2 linked regions of the Drosophila melanogaster genome follow. The protein of the gene in region 1 purifies or fractionates together with the protein of each later gene. This does not show direct contact. Each region holds a gene or a part of one and is shown on either strand. Other genes may lie near its edges. The genes, in order: CG15818 and CG10184.

What was found.
Region 2: the proteins of CG15818 (region 1) and CG10184 purify together in Drosophila melanogaster (affinity purification with mass spectrometry, with the first as the bait; one large-scale study listed by BioGRID). This does not show direct contact.

The regions. Positions count from the first base shown.
Region 1 is NT_033779.5:7,409,030-7,413,045, reverse strand, and holds CG15818 (uncharacterized protein), read right to left. Parts: upstream 2,138-4,016; 5' UTR 2,092-2,137; coding exon 1,240-2,091; 3' UTR 817-1,239; downstream 1-816. Other genes in the region: chm (chameau), read right to left, coding at 1-539; CG5181 (uncharacterized protein), read left to right, coding at 3,342-3,473, 3,537-4,016.
Region 2 is NT_033777.3:23,601,834-23,607,218, forward strand, and holds CG10184 (uncharacterized protein), read right to left. Parts: upstream 3,663-5,385; 5' UTR 3,580-3,662; intron 3,195-3,579; 5' UTR 3,192-3,194; coding exon 2,981-3,191; intron 2,070-2,980; coding exon 1,995-2,069; intron 1,930-1,994; coding exon 1,521-1,929; intron 1,281-1,520; coding exon 1,144-1,280; intron 1,086-1,143; coding exon 766-1,085; 3' UTR 674-765; downstream 1-673. Other genes in the region: CG31145 (uncharacterized protein), read right to left, coding at 5,018-5,216.

The sequences.
Region 1 (4,016 bases):
TTGGACGAGGAGGAGAGCGAGGGTCGCTTGCCCTCGCCGTTCTCCAGTGATCGATTTGTGTTGTTGTTGGCCGATCGCTGGGTAGGATTGCTCGGTTTGTTAGCGGGATTGCTTGGCTTGTTGACGGACGCGGGTGGTTTTCTCCTGGCTGCTGAGGCGGCAGCTGCCGCTGTTACAGTGGAACTGCCCATTGCACGTGAGTTCTTTTTGGCCGGCGGCGCCGAGTCCTCATATTCGTCGTCATCGCTGGAGAGTTTACTTTTGGGAGGATTGTTTACTTTTTTGCTAGATGGCGCTACGCTCGGCTTGGGTTTATCCTCCGACGCCGCAGGAACAGGCTTTCTTCTCTGTGCATTTCCGGAATTAGTTTGTTGTTGTGTTTGCGTCTGGGATTTGGCGGAGGAATTCGTGGATGGCTTCTCCTCCGGCGTCGCACTGCTGGAATCCGTGTCCGAGCTGCTGCCCGTTTCCGAACTGGTGGATCCGCTTGTGGATGAGCTGCCCGACTCCGAGCTGCTGCTGCCGGACTCCAAGGCCATTTTTGTAGCGCAGAATGTTTTTTTTAATATTTGTACACAAAAATGCCTGTTTTCCTGTATTGTTTTGATTAGAGTGGCCAGAGGTGGATGCCAAGCGGAACGCCATGGGAATCGGCCGGAGCTATCGGCTTATAATATGCTAGAGATGTGCAACTAGGGCACAAAAATATCGTATTCCAAAAATATTTTAGTTAGCAAATATTAATTGAAATACGAACCTACACAGTTTATTGCCTTGTTTAATAGGAGTTTTTAAAATTGATATAAGCCAGTTTTTGTGATTAAAGTCGAAAATTTCTTTATTCATTTGTTGCTTATAAAGAGTGCTTGTCGAGTACGATAAATTTAATAATCTTAACGAGGAATCAATCTTAATTTACGACGTGCGGGGAACCAAAACCAGAAAAACAAATAAAATAAATTCGATAACAGCAATCTCTTAAGCCTATTACTCATTTCAGCCAATTTATTTACGGCGCCATGTCGACTTTTTTGACAATTTGAAACGAAATAATTTCCTATCTGTGGCAATCACTTGTTGTCAAAAAAAATTGCCCTTAAACCCTCTCACAAAGAAAAATTATTGCTAAAAGCGTTATTAAATGTTCCCATCAATTTTTGCATCAAATGCAGTAAAGTGAATTATAGTATTTGTGGTTTTGTTGTAATATTCATTCATACATGTGTTGATACTTTAAAACTAAACATCACTGTCTGATTGGCAAATGAAATGCATAACGTCAGTGGTACAGGACAGAACGATCATAATGTTTTCGTGCCCAAAAACGTAGGCGCAGTGCTGGGTAGGATTATTGTATTTGGGTTCATTTTTGCGCCACTTGAAGTAGGTAGCTCGTTTGCCGGAGGCCAAGGATATAAACTCGCCCTGCTTGGCCAGATCGTTGACACCCAGCCAGTAGTTCGCCTTGTTCAATTGGCCCACTATGGCGTTGTATTCCTCGGCATTTTGGAATGCTGCGAGGTGGCCGCCCATTTCAATGCACCTCTGCTCGGCGGTCCTCCAGTTCACCTGTAAGTTGTGTTCGATGTAGAAATATCTCGATCCTATCTGTTGATATCTCTGCAGCACGAGTTTCCTTTCGATATCGGATAGAGTCTTCTGGATGGCTGTCAACTGGTTTTCCGTCCTCTTCTGTCCATCTTTCAACTGATTACTCAGCGCTGTCTGATTGCCTTCGATATCCTTTAGTTTTTGCTCAAGGTCCTCGGTTTTGATTGCCTTCGAAATGTTGTTCACAAGGAATGCTTGCTGGGCTTCTATTTGGATTTGTGTCGCCGTCAACTGGTCTTCGATCTTATCCAGTTTCGCGACGCTTCCATTAAGTTTCACCTCGCAGGCTCCCCAGTCCTGTTGCTCCTTCGAAAGGTGATCGATGACCGGCTGCAGTGCGGATACGCAATATTCACTGCACTGATTGGGAGGATCTGATAATAGACACACATAGCGCCTGCCCTCCTGGGCTTCTATCAGGGATCCGTAAGGATACAGCAATAGAAATGCGCACAAAATAATTCTCGTAGAGCTAAACATTTTGGACAACCACTGAGGTTGAAGCTTGATAAAGAACTGATACTGAAGTAATTGGCTCTCTTTTTAAAGGCCCGGCAATATGGTTGATAAGCATATTTGATCTTCTTATTAAAATTGTCACAAGAAATTTGATGTGGTATCATAAGTTATCATTATTTGTAAAGCGTTGTCAATATGGTATGGTAGTAAAGTAGATATGTACTTCAACTTAATGACATACTTCATTTCTGAAATCAGCGCTAAAGTCGATATCCTCCACTATTAGATCACTCAGCTAGCGGGAGTGCGTATATATAAAGAATTTAACAAATTAAATAATAAAATCAAAATATATTGGGCGTGTCCATCTTCTGAAACAAACTTGCGTTGCGTTTATAGGATCTGCACGCTCGATCTTATCTTTATAGCTTTTATGGTAACCAAAATCACAAACGGAAATGGCCAGATCAACTAATGATCCGAAATGAGAATTCCATTTACCTGTTGCATATTCATCAACGAATGAGGTATACTTTTTTTCTCTACGAGTAACGGCTGTAATGTTAGATAATCATCACTTGATTAATTAATGTCAACTTGTTTGCTCTTCCAGGAATTTCTTTTTTGTGCCCACTTTCACCGGTTTATTGAACTTAACTGCTCTGGAGGTTTCCAATTAAATTATCTGGTTAATTGTAGATTTTATCTACGCCCCTATGTTGAAATAATCGAAAGCTAGCACAGTCAGAAGAATGATATATGTAGAAATTTAAAATGATTCACATCTGCCGGAAATGATAAAGCTTTTTTATCTAGGGTGGTTCCCTAATTTAGTGACCACAATTAAATTTGTTGCTTGTGTGTTAGTTTTTGAATTACTTATAGGGTTTCTAATCACGAACTAACAAAATTGATAAAGTAATGTTTGCTTGTAAATATAAAGTTATCCTTCCGTTGAAATAGAATCTATTCAACATTCGCTGTACTTATTATGAGATGATTGATCAAGAAAAAAAATTAATATTTTTAATTTACTAAACGATAAATAAAATAAATGTATATATAACAATTCAAATTAGATGGTAAGAAATAAAATTTAAAAAAAAATTGGATGAAACAACTGGAATAATCAGTTCCAAAGCAAACTAAAGTATTTTTGGTTGTCTTAGGTGAGGTCACACTAAAGCCGTTTCAACGTCTGGCAACGCTGCACTACGCCAAAACAAAACAAATCATTTTTGTACTTTTTAAAAACTCTTGCTCATTCTGCAATGTATAACGTGGAATGCATTCCTATTAAGGACATAAAGCCGGGTCTGAAGAACATCAATGTTATCTTTATTGTCCTGGAAGTGGGCGTGGCCACCGTTACAAAAGAAAACCGCGAAGTGAGGAACTTCAAGGTGGGTCCATCGTTGCATTATTCACATAAAAACAAATAATATAGTGAAAACAATGTTTATAAGGTGGGCGATCCTACGGCCTGCATCAATGTTTCGATTTGGGACGAGCCGGGCAAACTGATAGCACCCGGTGATATTGTCAGACTGACAAAGGGCTACGCCTCCATCTGGAGGCATTGTCTGACCCTTTATTCCGGAAAGAACGGCGAGGTGTTCAAGATCGGCGAGTACTGCATGGTCTTCAACGAGAGCGTCAATATGAGTGAACCGAAACGGGCGGAGCAGCAGGCGGTGGCAAATCCTGCTGCTACTCCGGCGGGACTTCCGGCCGGTGGTGGTGCTCCTGGCTTGCCCGCTAAGGGTGGTGCCACGGGCATTCCACAGCCCGCGGTGGCTGCTGCACCAGGTGCTCCCGCCACCCAGAGCGCCGTGACCACAGCTCCTGCTGCGGCGCCAGCAATCGCACCCCAAACGACAACGAAACCTGGCACCCGTGGCGGCCGTGGAGGTGGAGGACGAGGTGGCCTTAAGGGGGAACGGCGT
Region 2 (5,385 bases), on another chromosome or scaffold:
AAATCAACCTTCCATAATTACTTGCCATTTGGGCAGATGACTTTTCGTTACACATTAATCCCGGCCAGAATCTACGGAGGCTCAAAATGCAGACAAAGGACCAACTTTGGCCGAGTCAATTCAATTTCAATTTATCAAATGCTTCAGCAATTTCTCTAATTGAATTTCGTTTCATTTGGCATAGCATAATTTATAAAATATAACATTTCAATGCCGTGCCCCGCCCCCTCGTATGGCTCTGCTATTCACTCAGCCCAGCTCTCTAATCCATTGTAAGGGAACACACAGAGACCCTGGATGCCGGTATCCAATCATTTTGAGCGCATTCCGCCTTCGCCGGCGATAAGTTTGCTTATAAATCACAACTGTCCGATGGCTGCGAGGATGGAGCACTGGGCACTGCAGGCTTTTAAATCGATGAGCACATCGCTGGATTGACAATAATATTTTAAAAATAATTTTATTATTTCATTCAGCCGGGCACTCATGCAGACACACAAGGGAAAACTTCTGGGGAAATGGAGCAGGAGTCGGCGGAGCAGCAGCCCAATGGGCGGTGGGATTGGAGCCCGGCCGGATGTCCATCAGCTTCGACGGAACGATGCCCGGTCATGCGTGAATGTAAACGCAGCTCGGACCCACTCAAGGGGCAATAATACAAATTTGAGATCTTCTTTTGCTCCCTCTATGTCTTTAATTAAACGACAAAATGCAAAATCTAATTGTGTTTGTCTTTCCAGTAATATTCAAAAGAATTACAAATGTCTAGGTCCTGGGAAATTGCTTGTCGTACTGGCCGATGACGTACTTCAGCTTCCTGATGGCCAGGTCCACTTGCTCATCGTCCACCTGATGGTAGAGCACAAGTCTCGCAAATGCCCAATCCCGGGCACTAGCCTTCACCACGATTCCGGCTCCGTTTTTGTCCTTCACTCCGGCTTCCACTTCACCAGCATCAACGATGCTCAACCGGGTGGAGAACTCACTGGCCGTCAGTTTGGGTTGGGTTATCTCTACCAGAAGGATATTGCTCTGGACAGACGACACGTGTACGGTAATGTTGGGACTTTTCAGTTCATATATAGCTGAAAAGGAAATAGATATTTATAGGTGTGCAATTATGTTAGACGTCATGACACCAACCGTTGGCAATTTTATTGGTCCGCTCGTGATCTTTGCTCAGAAGTGGTACCACTTCATCCAAAGCTACCAGTCCAGCTGCTGCTAACACTCCCACCTGCCGCATTCCGCCTCCCAAAGCTTTGCGCAGTCGATGGGCTCTATACGCAGAAAGGTATTTGTTATTGGCTAACATCAAATATAAAATTATATTATATGTAAGTAGTGTCAAATAATTCCATTACTAAGATACAGTTACCAATAACTAAAAATGGACTGCAGCTAAGCACCAATTTCCGTAATTATATCGAAGTATTGGAGTCACCGGAACCCGGAAAAGCAAATATTAGCCGGCAAGCAGCGTATTAGACACTCATGCCGTCATGCCGGGTTAAACTCACTCCGAAATGAAGGCCTTGGAGCCGACTAACACGGATCCCACGGGAGCCGATAAGCCCTTGCTGAGGCAGATAGATACCGAATCGAAATCGCGGCAGATGCGCTCCACTCCCACGCCCAAGGCGGTGGCCGCATTAAAGACCCTCGCTCCGTCCATGTGTAGAGCGATACGGGCGTTCCCAGTGCCCACGCCCGGCTGTCGGACCAGAGCAGCTAGCTCATCCAAGAAGGCCAGAGGCACCACTTTGCCACCGCAGATATTGTGGGTCTGCTCCACCACCACCAGCGAGGTGATGGGCTCGTGGCAGTCTTCGTGGCGTATCCTGCGGCGCAGATCCTGCAGACTAAAGGTGCCATCCTGCTCGTTCTTCAGAGTGGCTAATTGGACTCCGGCCAAATGCGAGGCGCCACCTAAACGTGATTAATGAAAACGCTCTGGAGTCGTTGAGTCCTGGCGGAGTGTTTGCTCTTCTCACCTTGTTCGTACAGAAAGATGTGCGATAAATCGCCGACCAGGGCCTCCGTGCCACGACGATGGCAGTGAACCATAACTGGGGAGATTATCAAGGGAAACATTGGAGTATTCGCTTGGCTCGGGATAATCAAGGATTCAGCCACAGGCTTTTCGGTTTAGCTCTGAACTCATCTTTAATACAACTACTACAGCCTTACTAATTGTTACTGATATCAATAGCACTTCTTACTTTACAAAATTTAGCTAATGATTCTTATCGTTTAAAAATTTGCATTACTCCTGTAAAGATTTAATACCTAGTAATTTAATAGATATTTAACTAGCTTTAAGTGTGCATAATCTTTCTAAGATAAGGTTTATTATGATTTGATAATGAACATAGTAAACTGAAATGCCTTTTCCCTTATTTTCGAGTTCTTAAATGAAATATCTTAATTAAGACCAGGAAGTACTCATATAAATATCACTCTTTTATTGCTGCATACCAAATGAGCAACCCTCTTGAAAAATTATCACAATCACAAGTATGAGTGCAGCAGTTTTCTTTTGAATAAAATGCAAACTTCAAATTCCATTAGAAATATTAATTTGAGCGAAAGCATAAATTACTCCAGATTGCGATGCCCAAAGCGGTAGCTCCTTGCAACTTCGTCCTTTATCCTTCAGTTTTTCTTTTCCCTTGCTCGACCTCGACTGTGTGGCACACGTCCACGTCTAATATTAAAGTCTATAAAAATTAATGTTATGTTTATGGCTGCCCTTAGCCTTTACGATAATGTACCTGATGCATGATATGAGCACTGCTTTCTTGTTTCTTTCACCTTTTCGCTCGGCCCACGCCCACGCAACCAGCCACCTTTTGTGTAATCTGAGACTGGCCTCGCTTTAAACTAATAAACATAAGCGATTCCCCACTACGGAAACCCACTAAAGCAGAGACGGAAAATGAGCCGGGCTTATTTACGACTCCTGGCAGTTGCCACTCACTTGCCAGTAGATTTCCCATGGTGCCGCTGGGCACAAAGAGGCCCGCCTCCTTGCCGAAAATGGCCGCTGTTCGCGCCTCCAGTTCGTTGACGGTGGGATCCTCGCCATAAACGTCATCCCCGACCACGGCGGTGGCCATCCGGGCCCGCATCTTGTCCGTCGGCTGGCTGACGGTGTCCGAGCGCAGGTCAACAACGGAATGGGTGGTCATTTTCTGCAAGTTGATTAGCTGGGATATTTGCATAAGGTGGGCTATGTTGATTTTCCATCTTTATGGCCAGCAGCAAATCCCCCATGGAATCGCGAACTCATTCATTTACATTGAGACACGTCAGTTGTACTGCCTTAAATAATTGATATGGGCAATGGGGCGATAGGCGGTTGGGGGCCCAACACCAAATGAAAACAATCACTTCTGGACATTCGAATGGAATTGGAATATGGTGTGTTGAGCGATTGCATAATCATTATTTTACTTTTAACACTTGATCTCCCGGCTGAACTCGTTCAACCTTTATTCAACTTTAATAGACATAATTCAATTTGTCAAAAAAAAAAAAAAAACACGTAAGTAAACAAAAAAACATCACAGAACTCACTTGGAAACCTAATTGATAAAAAAACTAAGCGAAAAAAATCACACAACGTGCTCCGTTCAGAGCTAGCGAAAAACTGACCCCAACAGCTGCTAAATGGCCTTCTTTATAAGGCAACCTCCGCAATGATAATACTGTTCCCAATTGAGCAGCGATCGATCTTCTTCTTTTTTTTAGTATAAGAGATATCTAAATTCTCTTTTAATATTTTTTTCTCTTTTTATACAAATTTTCGAAGAGCCGAACGCCATGCTCTTTAAGCCCTGCCCACACTAAGATTCTATTTCAGGAACGGAATGTGATCTGTAATAGCACTCTATTAAAACACACAAGATTTCTTTGGTACTTTTTTATTAATTACATCAGAAATTTTCACTAAAATTTTACTATGTCTAACACATTTTTGTTGTTCTTTTCTCATAGTTTTCACACTCAATTCACCTGTCACTTTTTCTTTTCTTGGCCAATCAATGATCTCTATCTCAACCACTCAAGGTACAATTGAAAAACGTTACAATAATAAAAACAAATTTAACTTAGCTATGTACTCAATAATAGTATGAATTAGTTTGTTAACAGTAGTTGTTTCACGTTTTGTTTTGCTTCCGACATGATGAAGTACATGATTCTCGCTGGAACTGATTGGACTAACTAATAAGACGATCCTTGAATCGGATAAAGCTACGCCTGATATCGATCATAATGTTAGGTCAACTTACGAACTAAACTTGCAACAACTTTTCTTGAGAATGGGCGTGGGAAGTAGGGGCATCATTGCATACGAGAAAAGTGTATGCAAAAGTGTATATGTAAAAGTCATAAAATGTATGCAAAAATTATAAATAAATATTTAGAAAATAGTTTCAATTTTTTGTAGTTATCCTTTCAGTTTTAGTTCTTGTTGTTTATGTTTTATAGTCTTTTGAACAAGTTTCCTTCTGGCGCACGCTGGCAAAATGTCAAGATTTGCCCTATATTTTAGTTTATACTTTCACATTCAAGTTGTTTGCACATTGCGTCTTCGTTTACTTTTGGCACCCACTGTAAGCGTACGATAGTGCTCGGTTTGATTTGGGCGTGTGCGATTGGGTGGGAGGTACTCAAATTTCATTGCCAATCAAAGCATTTTCCAGCAGCGCGACAAACAATCTAGGTGAAAGTATAAACTTGGAGTGAATTCATTTCCGCCCTCGGCTCTTGGCCTTCTTTTCGGTTTCTTTTCTAATTTCCGTTTTTTGGTATGTGCAGATGGAGCGACAGGGATTCCTTCACTTAGGACGTTGATCTTTTTCAAAGACCGATTGCCACCAACATTAACGCTAATTGTTTTTTTTTTTTTTTTGTTTCAGTTTCAACACACAGGACACGCGACTAACAGCTAGGGGATTTAATCTAATGCTCTAGGATGTTGTGTGGGCTCACTCCGGTCGCCTCCTTATCGCTACGAGGAGACGTCCGTCTCGGATCCGTCCACGTCGCCCGGCGGATTGCGCTTTATGCAGTCGCGTATGCTTTGCAGGATGATGCCGGTCCGGCGGTCCAGCGCCTCCAGGTGCGGCTGCCAGAGCACCGGACTGACGGGATCCTGGCTCAGGGATTCGCTCATCAGCTGGGACAGCGGCTTGGGACCATTGTGGAAGCTATCAGATAAATAAAATAGTTCATTTAAATATTGCTTTTAATCAGCGTTATAAGCTTAACACCTCACTTTTGTGTTTCAACTTTTGGAAACATTACATAATTGATTGAAATGCAATTACAGATAAATTAAGCTTATGAAGCACTTGGTATTTAATCGTTTTCAATGGC